Linked DNA regions of Nothobranchius furzeri. The protein of the gene in region 1 purifies or fractionates together with the protein of each later gene. This does not show direct contact. Links are inferred from orthologs where the notes say so. Each region holds a gene or a part of one and is shown on either strand. Other genes may lie near its edges.

Region 1 (4,714 bases):
CACGAAGAGCTAGAGCACCTATCCCTATCATGACCAGCTGCACCACTGTGTGGTACGGCAGATGCACAGCATCCTGTCAGAAATCTCTGCTGTGAATAGTGAGAGCAGCAGAGAAGATCACAGTTGTCCCACTTCACCCACCTGACTCAAGTCTGAGTGAAGTCACCCCTACCAGAGTCACTCCACCCCCACTTCCTGTTTGAAAAATGCAACAAATCCTGTTCCCTAGCACACTGAGGGCGCAGCTGCTAACAAACACACACAGGCTGTTTCTCAATATGCATACTTGTGTGTACTCACATCCTTGTGAAACGTCATCAACGATGGCCCAAGGACTGTTCCAATCCTAAGTATGCAAGTTCGCTCAAAGTTCCCGGATGTGATCTTGCTCCGCCCATTGTATCGAGGATGCCTCAATGCATCATTCCGCGGACATAACGCATGGCGTCGCAACCGTTATACTCTGAACGTCAGAGGAGAAAGCTAATAACTGTAATGTTTTGTTTTAATGTTAAAGTGCAAAACTATTGACTACACGTGTCTGCAGCATGATTAGACACTCATTTATATAGTTTATCTGCAAGAAAAAGTTGATAAACTTATTTTGATAAACTACATAAATGCATGTCTAATCGTGCTGCAGACACGTGTAGTCAATAGTTTTGCACTTTAGTTAAAATTTAAAATTTCTGCCTAAAACTGTCAGTGTTCTGACGTTGTCGGGTAAAAACTGCACTGCATTTGAATTTAAATCTGCCATCGCTATTGGCTAATACGTACCCTAAAACATTAGCTGGTACCATATGATGACACAAACTTGTTGTGAGCCTGTGTGTGCATTTGTTAGTGGCTCCACCCTCTTGGTCTGCTAGGCAACAGCATTTGTTGCATTTTTTCAAACAGGATGTGGGAGTTGAGTAAGAATCTGGTAGGGAGTGACTTGCTCTTTAAAGCTAGATTTAAAACATAACTTGAATCAGCTGCTTTTAAAGTTGTGACCTTTTCCATTCATGTAAATAATTTATTAACTTTAAAAATTACATAACACATACTTACTTACGAAAGCTCCTTGGTCACGAAGATTAGCTAGACATTGCTGTTTAATTAAAAACGTCTAAGAAGAAAAATGATCAAATAACCCGTGATGCACTGCGGTGGGTTTGAAGCTAATAATGACTTGATCTAAGCTACTAAACACCTCTCGCTGTCTTCGACTTCCCTTTCTGCAATAAAACAAAGAGTGAACGCTGAAAAACGTAAAAATATGTTTCGTTTGATAGTGAAGGGCGGTGTTATCGTGAACACCGCTGCAGTAACAGCGAGTCTGTAAAGTTCACTTTCGAAAACTCCCAGATAGATAATGGCAAATGTTTGAATCATTAATCGAACTCTCGAAGCTAATATTTCTGACTAACTAACAAAATTGATTTAGCATGCGCAGCTACTTTAAAGCCAAACCATAACACACAAAGCAACCCAATAAAATAAACACTCGATGCTTTACTGTATACAAAACCATATTGGATACCTACCAACAAGATTTTCGCTTTCACGCGAAAGTTCTTCTACTAGCTTAACTTGTCAATCAACTCACTTTGTCTAAACATTTAGCCATTTTTATAATAAAGTTAAATGATGAAGACAAGTGACCAGGTCAAGTATTTCTGACTGTGTTGTTGCTGCAACACTTCATCGTGATGTAGTAGTTTGTGTCTTCCTCGTGTTCTCTAGCTACCTTCTACTTCCTTCTTTTTTCTGTCAATACCCTCTACCGCCATCTACTGTTAGCTAAAATGTATACAACAAAAATCTGCTGTTAAGGCTAATCAAATGAGCTAAATCATAATTATTCTTTACACATTGAAGAAATTGTTAGATGTTTAGGTCACGTTATAAGATAAATAAATACATTTGAATTTTTGTTCGCGGTTCAATGTGATAATTCACCAGCTAATCAAGAGGGGGCAGTAGTGAGGCAGGCAACCGGATGTTACGGAAAAGCAGAAGAAAAACTCTCAGGTCAACAGTTAGCTAACTGTGAGAAGCTACGTGAACTAAATTAACCAGGTCACAGGTGTGGTAAAGGTGGGATAAAATGCCTCGTTATGCCCAACTAGTGATGGGCCCGGCGGGCAGCGGTAAGGTAAGTCATCGCTGATCACGCTGGACGTCATAAATGCTTTCTTATGTTATAATGCGTTGCTAACATGTTGAGCTAAGGCAAGTGCTACACAAACTATAACTTCTGTCTTCGTTTTTTTGGTCTGATATTTCAGAGTACTTACTGCTCCACCTTGGTCCAGCATGCAGAGGCCTTAAACCGATCTGTTCAGGTGGTAAATCTGGATCCTGCTGCTGAGCATTTTGACTACCCTGTGATGGCAGGTAAAGACTTTTAAAGATCACATCAGAAAGGCTTAATAGGAAAACAGAAATTGTGTAAAATGAAGAAATTCAAATAGATTAGGTTAGGTTTCATTGTTACATGGTGATCACTTGTAGTTTCGGATAAAAAATATGGAAACACTTTGTGATTGTGATTTTGTGGATTGGTCTTTTTATTTAAATTCAGTTTAGTAAAACAATTACTTCTGATAGGATTACCGTAAATCCTCTAATACAGGCCGGTATTCAATTAAAGGCCGGGTCTCCAATTTTGGCCGGTGTCAGAGTCAGCGGAGGTAAATAATGGCCGGTCTCTTATTGTGGCCGGATGGCATGTGGTAACAAGCAAGTACGAGCGTCCCAGCGGCAGGGTTATAGTTCCCAAATCAACCAGCAGGAGGCAGTAGAGGTTCACGCAGACCTTTATTAGGCCTTTTCTTCAACGCTTTGTAACGCTACAGACACGATCCTCTATCACGCTCCTACCACACAGAGTCATGGTGTCAGTTAACCATGCTAATTCAACCCACTCCACAGAACACACATCACCTTCCCTGTGGCTTACATAACACTCACACAACACGCAAATCAGCACATAGGAACTAGCAGAACGATAGGAAACACATATAACACAATACCCAGAATGCACCTGGCTTACAACCCCAGCCAGGTCATTACACTATCAAGTTCAAAGAGAACGTGCTGATTATGCTGCAGAACACTCTGGAGAGCAGCAGTAGGGTGTGTATGAACTACAGTAATCCCTCGTTTATCGCGGTAGATGCGTTCCAGACCTGGCCGCGATAGGTGAAAATCCGCGAAGTAGGGACTCCCAGCATGCCCCTCGCGGGGATTCCCTTCACGTCGCACCTACGTCACAAACCGCGGCTATAAACGGAAGTTGCCTTTCCAGCTCACCACTCAGTCATCGTTTCTTCAGATTCACGATCAGAGTTTCCAACCTACCGATCAATCCAACGAACTATCAGCTCATAGTAAGTTATCTTACTTACTTCTGGAAAGCCCGGCATTTCCGTGTCACTTCGTTGACGCTCGAACGCTCGGGGGTTTCCTAGATCAGCCGGCGTTTCACCGACGCTCTCACTTCCGCGTCTGTGAAACCACGCTCCCTATTGAATTATCGTATGATCACATTCTCTTTTTGGGGGTAAAACTCAAGTGCCAGACCGTAGGTACTGACACGCGATCGTTCATGTCGGTTAATTTTTAATGTTTTCTGTCTTTTATTTGCGCCTGATGTGTATCGCTGCTGTGGAGCGGGGCGCATCAACTTGTCCTCCGACGCACAGATCACAGCAGGGAGCGCTCAGCTGTTTTCGCGGTCGGTAGATCTGCCTCCTGAGCACGGCCACAGTAACAATCAGGTGTCGCCACCTCAAAAACTAATTTAACACGCGATCGTTCATGTCAGTTCATTTCCTTTAATTTTTTCTGTCTTTTATTTGCGCCTGATGTGTTTCGCTGCACGCTGTGGAGCGGGACGCTGCGCGCATCACCTTGTCCTCCGACGCACTGATCACTGATACAGCCGCCAAACAGCAAGCGCTCCGCTGTTTTTGCGGTCGGTAGATCTTTTAGAACTGCAGTTCAAAGGTAACTCATGAGGTGAATATGAACCCAGGCAGCAGTTTTTCTTTAGGATTGAGAGGAGATGCAGGAAGATAATAAACAGACAGGACAGAAAAATAGTCAAATAAAAACAAGTTAGTTTTTGTACCTGCTGTTGCAACAAACAGACACCATTGAAGGTCATCAGAAGTGAGGAACAGAAAATGAAATAATTATTTTAATGTTTAGAGCAGCAGGAACTCCGAGAGGCTGCAGGCGCATCAGTGAGTTTGCGGCCGCTGCGCAGGGGGAGGGGGGAGAGGGCTGAAGCAGGGGGAGGGGGGAGAGGGCTGAAGCAGGAACTACCGTTGTTAAAAGAAATGTGTTTAACTTTGAAAATGTGGGCGCACTTTTAATTGTCAAAAACTCCAGCGAACCATAGTTCATTTTGCTCAAATAGAAATAGAGGCCTGCCTCTAATACTGGCCCTCCTTCCAATAAAGGCCTGGAGCTTGATGAGCTTGAGTCAAATACAGGCCCGGGCCTGTATTAGAGGATTTACGGTAACTCACAAGTACAAGTAACATCAGGAGGATTTTTTAAATTAATTACTTTCTCCGTGAAGCACACTATATTTGATTGCAGTCCTGCTTTGTCAGACATCCGTGAGCTCATCCAGGTCGATGATGTGATGGAGGATGACTCTCTGAAATTTGGCCCTAACGGAGGTCTGGTCTTCTGCATGGAGTACTTTGCCAAC
Region 2 (4,721 bases), on another chromosome or scaffold:
TTTAGGCTTAATGAAACTCCTGGACAACTATGAGCGGTCTACAGGCATCACGGAGCGAGTCACAACAGAGGAGCAGACAGAGATCAGTCTCTTCCTGGATGCTGTTTTAGAAACTCAAGTTATGAAGGTGACTTGTTGCAGATTTTGTTACTTAGATGTCTTTAACCTCTCATCGTTTCATGCATTTTGTGGTTTGAAGCTGCAGCTGAACACTGCAGAAACTCGACTCATCGTGATGTTTGAAGAAAGGGAAAAAAATAACAAAACAGGCAGCTGAAACATCTGTGTGCAGCTGTGGAATGTTGTGTTGGCCTCAGTGGGCTCCCCAAAGAGGATCACTGGAAAAATGTGAACTTTCAGTACTTGTTTTAGGAGGAAATACTTTTCTGGTCCAGTTAAACCCATAAAGTGTTTCTTACTCTATAGTCAGGGAACAAAATTGTTTTACATCACGTTTTGATTCAATTAACGTTTCAAAACACTGCCTCAAAGGAAAGGTATAAGCTGCAGCTTTTATTTATCATTTGCAACATTAACTGTTCATTTGCTCAAACTGGAGAAACTTTCTGAGTAATCTATGTGATTTCTTCTCAGCGTGCCCATCAGTATCTGGTGAGCAAAGGAAAGTCCAGGTCTGACTTGAGGCTGTTCAAGAGTCAGCTGAGCTTGATCTGGTTTCATCTTTACCACCGACAGAGGAACACGGGGTGGGAGTCTGAACATCAATGCGTCAGAGTCTTTTATCACTTTGTTTGTGACGATAATAAGTAACCATTTTGTTTGTGTGACAGCCCAGACTCTTGTGGGTTTGAACACGTTTTTGTTGGTGAAACCAGATCCGGAACAGAAATAATTGGCTTTCACAACTGGGTTCAGTTCTACCTGCAGGAGAAAAACAGCCAATTGGATTACAAGGGATACAAGGCCAGAGAGCACGACTTGGTAAGTTCACCACATGGAGGAGACGCATCTCTGTCGGCACCATCTCATGTCTGCTTCCACCTGCAGCCTGACCAGGATGACCACGTTTTGAACCTCCAGTTCAGCTGGCACGGTGTGCTGAAGCCCGTCGGCAGTGCCTTCATTGGGACCAGCCCTGAGTTTGAGATGGCCATCTTCACCATCATCTTCCTGATGAACACAGAGAGGAGCACCACAGTGCTGGTCAACATCGACCAGTGTCAGCTGGAGCTGGTGGTCGTCAGGCAGGGACGTTGTCTGGGGACGGCATACCCCAAACTGCTCAGCAGCAACAGCAGACATGTCAGGGGGCACGCTCGCTGACCCTGTCCACACCTGAAATGACAGGTGGTGTCTGTATGGAGGCAGCAAACTGAACATCCATCATGACTGTTCTAAACTTTATTCAAAAATGTAGAAGATGCTTTTAATAGAATAGTTTGTGTTGCTTTTATCAGCATAGCGTTAGAGGATCAATTGATTCAATCAGATTCCTTAGTTTTTTCCTCTGCTTTAGTCAAAACCAAAAGCATTAATTCTAATTAATTTTCTATTTATGCTTGAAAAAGTCAACGTGTTTTTCCAGTACATTAAGTTACTTTTTGTTTGTTTCTCGTACTAAATAAAACAACTAAGTAAAACAATCAAAAAGTGAATTTCTTGTCTTTTTTTGTTTCAGTAACGTTTTGCACCACTAGGTGGCATACGTTTATTAAACTGTTGAGATCCCGCGACCTCCGAAGAAGTCGTTCCAGACGGAACTATGTAGTTCCGCCCAACGTTTCTACGTACGCTTGAAATTGAAACACATAGCTGGGACGCATGCAGCCGACACTTCCTGCGTGTTGTGTCAACACTAACGTTATTTATATTTTTAAATGTTTAGAGTAGAACAGCAACGGTGACTATGGAGCTGCTGGGAGGAGAGTTTGGAGAAATGACTCCTCAGGAGTTGGCGGCTCCTGTCAACACTGTGGCGGTAAGTTCGGGGAAAATCGGACAAAAAGGTTTTTACACCACGAGTGCAGTGCAGTAAGCTAATTCAACAGATTTAACTGATGGTGTGGTGCAACGAAGCTTCTTAGTTGTTAAATGAGTCTGGAATTATGTCACAGCTGGAACATTGTAGCATTAAATCCAGAGTTTGGCCAACCTCGGCATAAAGTGCTCCAGAAACGGAATAATTTAATTAATTAACTGGTTTGTTTCTCTTCCTGACAGGAAAAATGGAAGTTGTTACCAGCCTTTCTGAAGGTAACACAATAAGTAGAATTATCCCCCCCCCCCCCCCCCCCCGAGGAAAATCTAGACAAATATTTAAGCAGAAATTTCCATTTATAATCCAGATTTTTATTAATTCTACAATTTGAAGACTTCTGTTGTATTTTTAATTTAATTTCCGACTTTTGTTAGTTAATTTGATCTAATCAGATTCATTAATTTATGAAAAGTCAGGTTTAAATAATTAAAGTTAATCCCTTTAGCCCTCAGTGACCTAAGAGTTTAACCATGAGATACATCCATGCTCCTCTCTTTTTTTCTCTTTCATCTCTGTGTGCGTTGCAGGTGAAAGGTTTGGTGAAGCAGCACATTGACTCGTTTAACTATTTCATTAACGTTGAGGTAAAGCTGAAACCCACCAACCGGGCTTTTACTCCTCTGTTTAAGATTTCACTTCACTAAAAGCATCTTGTGTTTCAGATCAAGAAAATTATGAAAGCAAATGAGAAGATCACAAGTGATGCTGATCCACTGTGGTACTTGAAGTAAGTTATTCAATCGTTATATTACTGACACGCCCTTTATCTTGAATTGGAGTTAATCTGAGAAGTGGTTCCTGTGCAGCTACCTCAATATCTACGTTGGGATGCCCGATGTTGAGGAAAGCTTTAACGTAACCCGACCGGTTTCTCCTCATGAGGTGAGTCTGATCAGATGAGATCATGTTTCAGTCTGACAGGTTTGTAAATTAAATCCATCAGTGGATTTATGGGAATATTTGTTGATTATTTTGCTTAAAGGAGAAATTCTGTTTCCACAGTGTCGCCTCAGGGACATGACCTACTCGGCGCCCATCACAGTGGACATAGAATACACTCGCGGCAGTCAAAGGATCATCCGAAACGCTCTGCCTATTGGAAGGTTTCTGATTTTTGACTCATTCTAATTTATCTCTCAAATTCTGCATTTCAGCTTTCAAAACTCGTCAAGATGTTATTGTTAAGAGGATTCTTTCTACTCGTGTCAGGATGCCGATCATGCTGCGAAGCTCGAACTGTGTTCTCACAGGAAAGACTCCCATGGAGTTTTCTAAACTCAACGAATGTCCTCTGGACCCAGGTACACTGTTGTTAAAAAGGATCTAACTCTAATTCTTAATGTTTTATTCTGGTCCTCTGTTTGACAGAGTTGTGTTCTTTTGATTTTCAGGAGGTTATTTTATTGTAAAAGGCCAGGAGAAAGTCATCCTGATCCAGGAGCAGCTGTCCAAGAATCGGATCATTGTGGAACAGGACAGGAAGGGTGCAGTCGGCGCCTCGGTTACCAGGTAGGAATAAAGTTACAGCTTCCTCCCAAATGAAGGAGTTAGACAGTTTAACTTGTTGTTTTGTTTCAGCTCCACTCACGAGAAGAAAAGCAGAACCAACATGATTGTGAAGCAGGGTCGGTTCTACCTGAGACACAACACGCTGTCTGAAGACGCTCCCATCGCTATTATATTCAAGGTAAAACCAGTTTAAGTACGTCCAGTAGGTGGCGCTGCAACACAACTAAAGAGAAGATTTTCTCTGCAGCTCTGATCTGTGTAAAATCATAATTGATAAACTCATGCTGTGGGAGGTTTTGATGAACTCTGTTCATCAGCCGGAGTGAAAATGTCAGTGGAACAGCTGGTGCTGTGATCTCCCATCACCTCTGGAGAAAAGCTTTTCTAACACATTACCTTGTGAGTGTCTGAACCCTCGGTTCTGTTTGCTGAGAGCTCGTACATCCTGGACTGCTCCTTCCCCACCTCCTTCTGCGACCTCATCTCCTCCGTGGAGCACACGAATCAGTTCCCACAGCTTCACATTTCCATAAGCAAATGTCATGCACCCCCATGACTCCGAGCTAACCTCTCTGACCCCCACCAACACTCCACCTCCTAATGTTTCAGCTCATATAGTCTCAACGTGGTTATATATTGAAATGATTTAGTTCACCCCTTTCACATTAGTCCCTTGTCTTCTGCATCATGTCTGTGACCCACACAGGGTATGGGTGTAGAAAGTGACCAGGAGATCGTTCAGATGATCGGCACCGAGGAGAACGTCATGGCTAGCTTCGCCCCGAGTCTGGAGGAGTGTCAGAAAGCCCAGATCTTCACCCAGACTCAGGTATTTCAGTAAAAAAAAAAAAGCCACTGGTTACATCAACATGTTTTACAGGCTAATCTCAGGTCAGGTTACCAATCTGGTGTTTATGACGCAGGTACAGATGAGTTAATTTTACCCCTCCTCTTTGTATACTCAGTGGTTCCAAAAGTCTGGGTCAGGGTCCCACTGTGGCTCATGAAACACTTAGCTTTGGTCTAGAGACAAAAATCTTAGGCCTAGTCCACACGTAGCCGGGTTTTTTAAAAACGAATATCCGCCCCTCCAAAAACTTGCATCCACACCACCGCGTTTTAAAAACAAACTCTGTCCACACGTACCCGGATAAATACGTTGTTAAGGACATGCCAGACCTGTAGGCGGCAGTACTTCCCCCGTTCTTAACCT
Region 3 (4,273 bases), on another chromosome or scaffold:
TGGGCTGCAGCCTGAGGACAAAGATAGTATGTCTCTGCCCCCTCCTCAGGCCGGTAATATCCCGACAGCAGCCCCCTGGCTGGGCTCTCCTCGCCCCACAGAATGCTACCCCTCCACCATGGTCCACCTTTACCTGTGGAGCCCCCCATTACCGGGAAGCTCCCTGGCACACACACCTTTCCTCCGATGTGTTCCTGAGAGATCAACTGAACCTGGGTAAAAAAAGTCCCGACAGAGGAAACATATACGCTCGGTATTTGCTGGCAGAGCTCCATCTCCCCGGGGCTCTGACAGTCCCGCAGAGACGCAGCGGACCTGCTGACCCATGACTCCAGCAGGCCGGTTGCCCCCTCGTGCTGACACTGCAGGTGGGTCAGGTGAGCAGGTGCGGACTGGCTGAGGGGCATCATGCCATTTAACTGTCTTAAAGTCTCACTTTCTTCACTCATCAAGCTGCTTCTGAGCTCCGCCGGAGCGATGTTCCACTGGCGGAGTTTCCGCCGCAGCAACAGCGCGGGCCTTGACAGCAGACGGATCCACGAGCTGTCCTGGCTATCCTGTCCGACCGATGTGACCGCGGGGCCGGGTGGGTGGGACGAGCGTTTTCCTCCACACGTACATTCTTCGGCGTTTATGTTTCTGAACATTTTATCTACTTAAAGTGCACAAATGAATTTCCCTGAAACAGCAGCGGTTTTAGCAAGTTACACTGACAGCTGTCAAACCTCACTAGAACATGTTAAAGTGGCCGCCAGGAACCCAAAAGATAACGTCCATAAGCCCGGAGCCGGCGACATTCCGCTGAGAGTGGTGGTTAGACTTCCTCCGTGTGGTACCGGAGCTGGAAAACTGAGCCGAGCTGAACATGCTAGAGCCGTGAAACGATGATAAGTCCCAATGTGAAGCGGAAAAACGAGCCATCCTGTCGGGGCTTATCGCGGGTGGGAGGTTCTGCTGGGTTAGCAGGTTAGCTTAGCACGAGAAGCAAACGGCGGTTAGTTTACTTCCCAGCGACGACTTAAAATTATCGATTTAAATTCCGCTTTCTGGTTGGTTTCGTCGACTGTTGATGGAAGGGAGTTCTTCCCACCGGTAATACTGCCCGGTATCCGTTCAGAGAGGAGTTTTGGCCCCCGCACAACTCCGTGAGTCTGTCTATATGGCTGCAGTGGGAGATTTCATCAGAAAGTCAGAAGACCATCAGCAGAAGCCCCGCGTCTTCCTTTTCCGGGTAAACGGCAGACGGTTGGCGGCGCGGCACGGAGCGGCACGAACGCGCGGCAGAAGCGGAGGCGCGGAAAGTTTCTCCAGTTCTTTTTCAGAGGGAGCCATTTTTTATTTTACTCTCGATGCACTCCTACACGAATCTCATTAATATAAAGTAATTATTTATGCTATAGGAGGAAAAAATAGGACATGGCGTCACACGCTGTAAAGGTATAGCTCCTCTGAGTCATGGGTGCATTGAGGAGACCAGATGGTAACACCACCTTAAGGTGACATCTGGTACCATCAGGGGTGCCATGGGCAGCGTTTTGGCTAATCACCTGGTAAATTGCAGAAAAGCAGAGAGTGACACTGAAACGTGTGTTTCTGGTTAAAATGAACTGTGTTTGATGTATTTTGTTCAGGTCCTAGCTTTTATTAAACAAAAAAATGCTGCAAATTTTACATGAACCGTGTTTAGGTCAAACATGTATTATCCTAATATTGTGAAAGTAAACATTTTCTACGTGCTGCAAATTTCTATTATTGATTTAAATATGCAGTTTCGCTTATCGTGCTGCAGGTGGCGGTAATGCCACACAAAGCTGATTTCCTAACAGTCTTTAAACCAGACAAAGAAAGCTGAGCGGAAGTATCCTAGTGGTTCGGTTCGGGGTTCTTTGCTCCAGCACAAACATGAACGCACCTCCAGCCTTCGAGTCGTTTCTGCTCTTTGAAGGAGAGAAAAAGATCGGCATCAGTAAAGATACCAAGGTCCCGAACGCGTGTTTGTTCACTCTGAACAAGGAAGACCACACACTGGGGAACATCATCCGAGCGTAAGACACACACACACACACACACTCTGAGGAACATCATCCGAGCGTAAAACACACACACACATACACACACACACTGAGGAACATCATCCGAGCGTAAAACACACACACACACAGGGGAACATCATCTGAGCGTAAGACACACACACACACACACACACACACACACACACACACACACACACACACACACACACACACACGCACGCACGCACACACACACACACACACACACACAGGGGAACATCATCCGGGCGTAAGACACGCACACACACACACACACACACACACACACTGGGGAACATCATCCGGGCGTAAGACACACGCACTGGGGAACATCATCTGGGCGTAAGACACACACACACTGGGGCACATCATCTGGACGTAAAACACACACACACACACACTGGAGAACATCATCTGAGCTCAAGGACACAATTTGATATTGGAAAGAAAAAAAAACCTGACAGCAGCCGGCCTTCGCCTGTGGGAGGAGCTCTGACACAGGTGTCCTGTCTGGTGGCCCCTAATTGTGTGTTTTTGTGTGTCAGTCAGCTGCTGAAGGATCCTCAGGTTCTGTTCGCGGGTTACAAAGTTCCTCATCCTCTTGAGCACAAGATCGTCATCCGAGTGCAGACCACACCTGACTACAGTCCACAGGTAACCCATCAGGTCTTCAACACCAAATAAAGTAAAGATGGCTGTAGGGACTTCACCAGAGAAGTGAAGGAATGTGTGCATGCATATATATATATATATATATTTTTTTTTTTATATATATATTTTATTTAGGGTCCGTCGTATTGTCGAACCTCAGATTCAGGAGGACGAATGTGGTTTTCATCCTGATCGTGGAACACTGGGCCAGCTTTGTACCCTTAGGGGGGTCCTGGAGGGTGCGTTAGAGTTCACCCAGCCAATCTAAATGTGTTTGTGGATTTGGAGAAGGTGTTCGACTGTGTTCCTCAGGGGGCCCTGTGGGGGGTAGTCCAGGAGCATGGGGTACCAGGCCCTCTGACACGGGCTGTTAGGTCCCTGTATGACCGGTGTCGGAGCTTTGGTCCGCATTGCCGGCAGGACGCAAACCAACAGGAGTCAAGATGGTGTAAGCTGTGTTCTTAAACAAGATCATTTCTCATTGGTTTAGATAGAGGGGTTGGGGCATAAAACCTCTACTGGAGCCAGCCTCTGGAGGCTTTTCAGATCTTTCAGCTTCAACTTCTGCACTGTCCTCCAGCTGGTCTTTATACATGTTGGTGGTCTAAGCCTCATGATGCTGTTGGACCCAAGTGGGTCTGGATTTGTTTCTCATATGTTTTGTGTCTTGATTGGTTGAGACACAATAATGATAGAAATTGGAAACCTAACCAAATGTGATGTCATTTCCTCCACAGGAAGCATTCACCAATGCCATCACAGATCTGATCAGTGAGCTGTCTCTGCTGGAAGAACGCTTCAGAGTTGCCATCAAAGACAAACAGGAAGGCATCGAGTGACCCTGACCTCTGACCTCACCTCATTTTGTTGTTTTGTTTTTCTAAATAAACTTAAGATGTCAGATTCTGTGTTTAGTCAATACCTTTTACAAGTATTTCGACAAAATTGCCAAACACTATTAAAAATAGGGTTTGGAACTAGATCTGATCCCACTCAGATGTCCAAAGGAACAGCTGGTATGGAAATCTTCACCTGTTAATTCTAGCATTGATCAGCTGATCTTCAGGAAGTGATGTCACCTCTAAGAATTTAAACTATATCAAACAAAACAAAATAGTTGTCAATCAGATTTAATTGAATATTCTTTTAAAAGAAAAGCAGTAAAAAATAAAAAAAATCTGATTTTGTGATGTCACATGCCGTGTGGCCCCTGATCATGTGACCATCAGGGGTCAGAGTCTCTCTGAGCCTCCATGGCTCGCTGCATCTTCTCCACCATCCACGGAGGAACGGAGAACGGCTTCAACTCGTCCATCCTGACATCCGGACAGTCCCTAAAAGGGATGCAAGTTACCACGGCAACCACACACATCTCACCAGCTATCAACTACATCATCAGAACAACAAATGCTAGAATAAGGTCAATAAAACTGGTAGCTGGTTCTGTTCTAGTGATTAAACTGTTTTCTGCAGCTGGATCCAGAAGTTTGTGTTTCAGGTTGGATACTAACTTGTACTCATCGCTGTGAGACAAATCCTGGATGTCCTCTTCAATCAGAAGGTAAGCCTGC

What was found. The genes of interacting proteins can lie anywhere in the genome.
Region 2: the proteins of gpn3 (region 1) and polr3b purify together in Homo sapiens (affinity purification with mass spectrometry; 3 studies listed by BioGRID and IntAct, counting the BioPlex papers as one, with this or other methods). This does not show direct contact. The link is inferred for Nothobranchius furzeri from reciprocal best matches to the Homo sapiens genes GPN3 and POLR3B.
Region 3: the proteins of gpn3 (region 1) and polr2j purify together in Homo sapiens (affinity purification with mass spectrometry; 4 studies listed by BioGRID and IntAct, with this or other methods). This does not show direct contact. The link is inferred for Nothobranchius furzeri from reciprocal best matches to the Homo sapiens genes GPN3 and POLR2J.

The regions. Positions count from the first base shown.
Region 1 is NC_091746.1:47,857,363-47,862,076, forward strand, and holds the start of gpn3 (GPN-loop GTPase 3), read left to right. Parts: upstream 1-1,875; 5' UTR 1,876-2,095; coding exon 2,096-2,143; intron 2,144-2,276; coding exon 2,277-2,385; intron 2,386-4,613; coding exon 4,614-4,714. UniProt on the Homo sapiens protein: Small GTPase required for proper localization of RNA polymerase II (RNAPII). May act at an RNAP assembly step prior to nuclear import.
Region 2 is NC_091744.1:73,559,247-73,563,967, reverse strand, and holds the start of polr3b (DNA-directed RNA polymerase III subunit RPC2), read left to right. Parts: upstream 1-1,751; 5' UTR 1,752-1,867; coding exon 1,868-1,939; intron 1,940-2,181; coding exon 2,182-2,214; intron 2,215-2,526; coding exon 2,527-2,583; intron 2,584-2,661; coding exon 2,662-2,726; intron 2,727-2,805; coding exon 2,806-2,881; intron 2,882-3,001; coding exon 3,002-3,102; intron 3,103-3,208; coding exon 3,209-3,300; intron 3,301-3,390; coding exon 3,391-3,508; intron 3,509-3,577; coding exon 3,578-3,686; intron 3,687-4,214; coding exon 4,215-4,337; intron 4,338-4,721. Other genes in the region: endouc (uridylate-specific endoribonuclease C), read left to right, coding at 6-127, 595-707, 792-942, 1,009-1,284. UniProt on the Homo sapiens protein: Catalytic core component of RNA polymerase III (Pol III), a DNA-dependent RNA polymerase which synthesizes small non-coding RNAs using the four ribonucleoside triphosphates as substrates.
Region 3 is NC_091743.1:77,208,024-77,212,296, reverse strand, and holds polr2j (DNA-directed RNA polymerase II subunit RPB11-a), read left to right. Parts: upstream 1-1,684; 5' UTR 1,685-1,902; coding exon 1,903-2,045; intron 2,046-2,596; coding exon 2,597-2,705; intron 2,706-3,439; coding exon 3,440-3,541; 3' UTR 3,542-3,603; downstream 3,604-4,273. Other genes in the region: protein phosphatase 1 regulatory subunit 15B, read right to left, coding at 1-647; deoxynucleotidyltransferase terminal-interacting protein 1, read right to left, coding at 3,928-4,036, 4,214-4,269. UniProt on the Homo sapiens protein: Core component of RNA polymerase II (Pol II), a DNA-dependent RNA polymerase which synthesizes mRNA precursors and many functional non-coding RNAs using the four ribonucleoside triphosphates as substrates.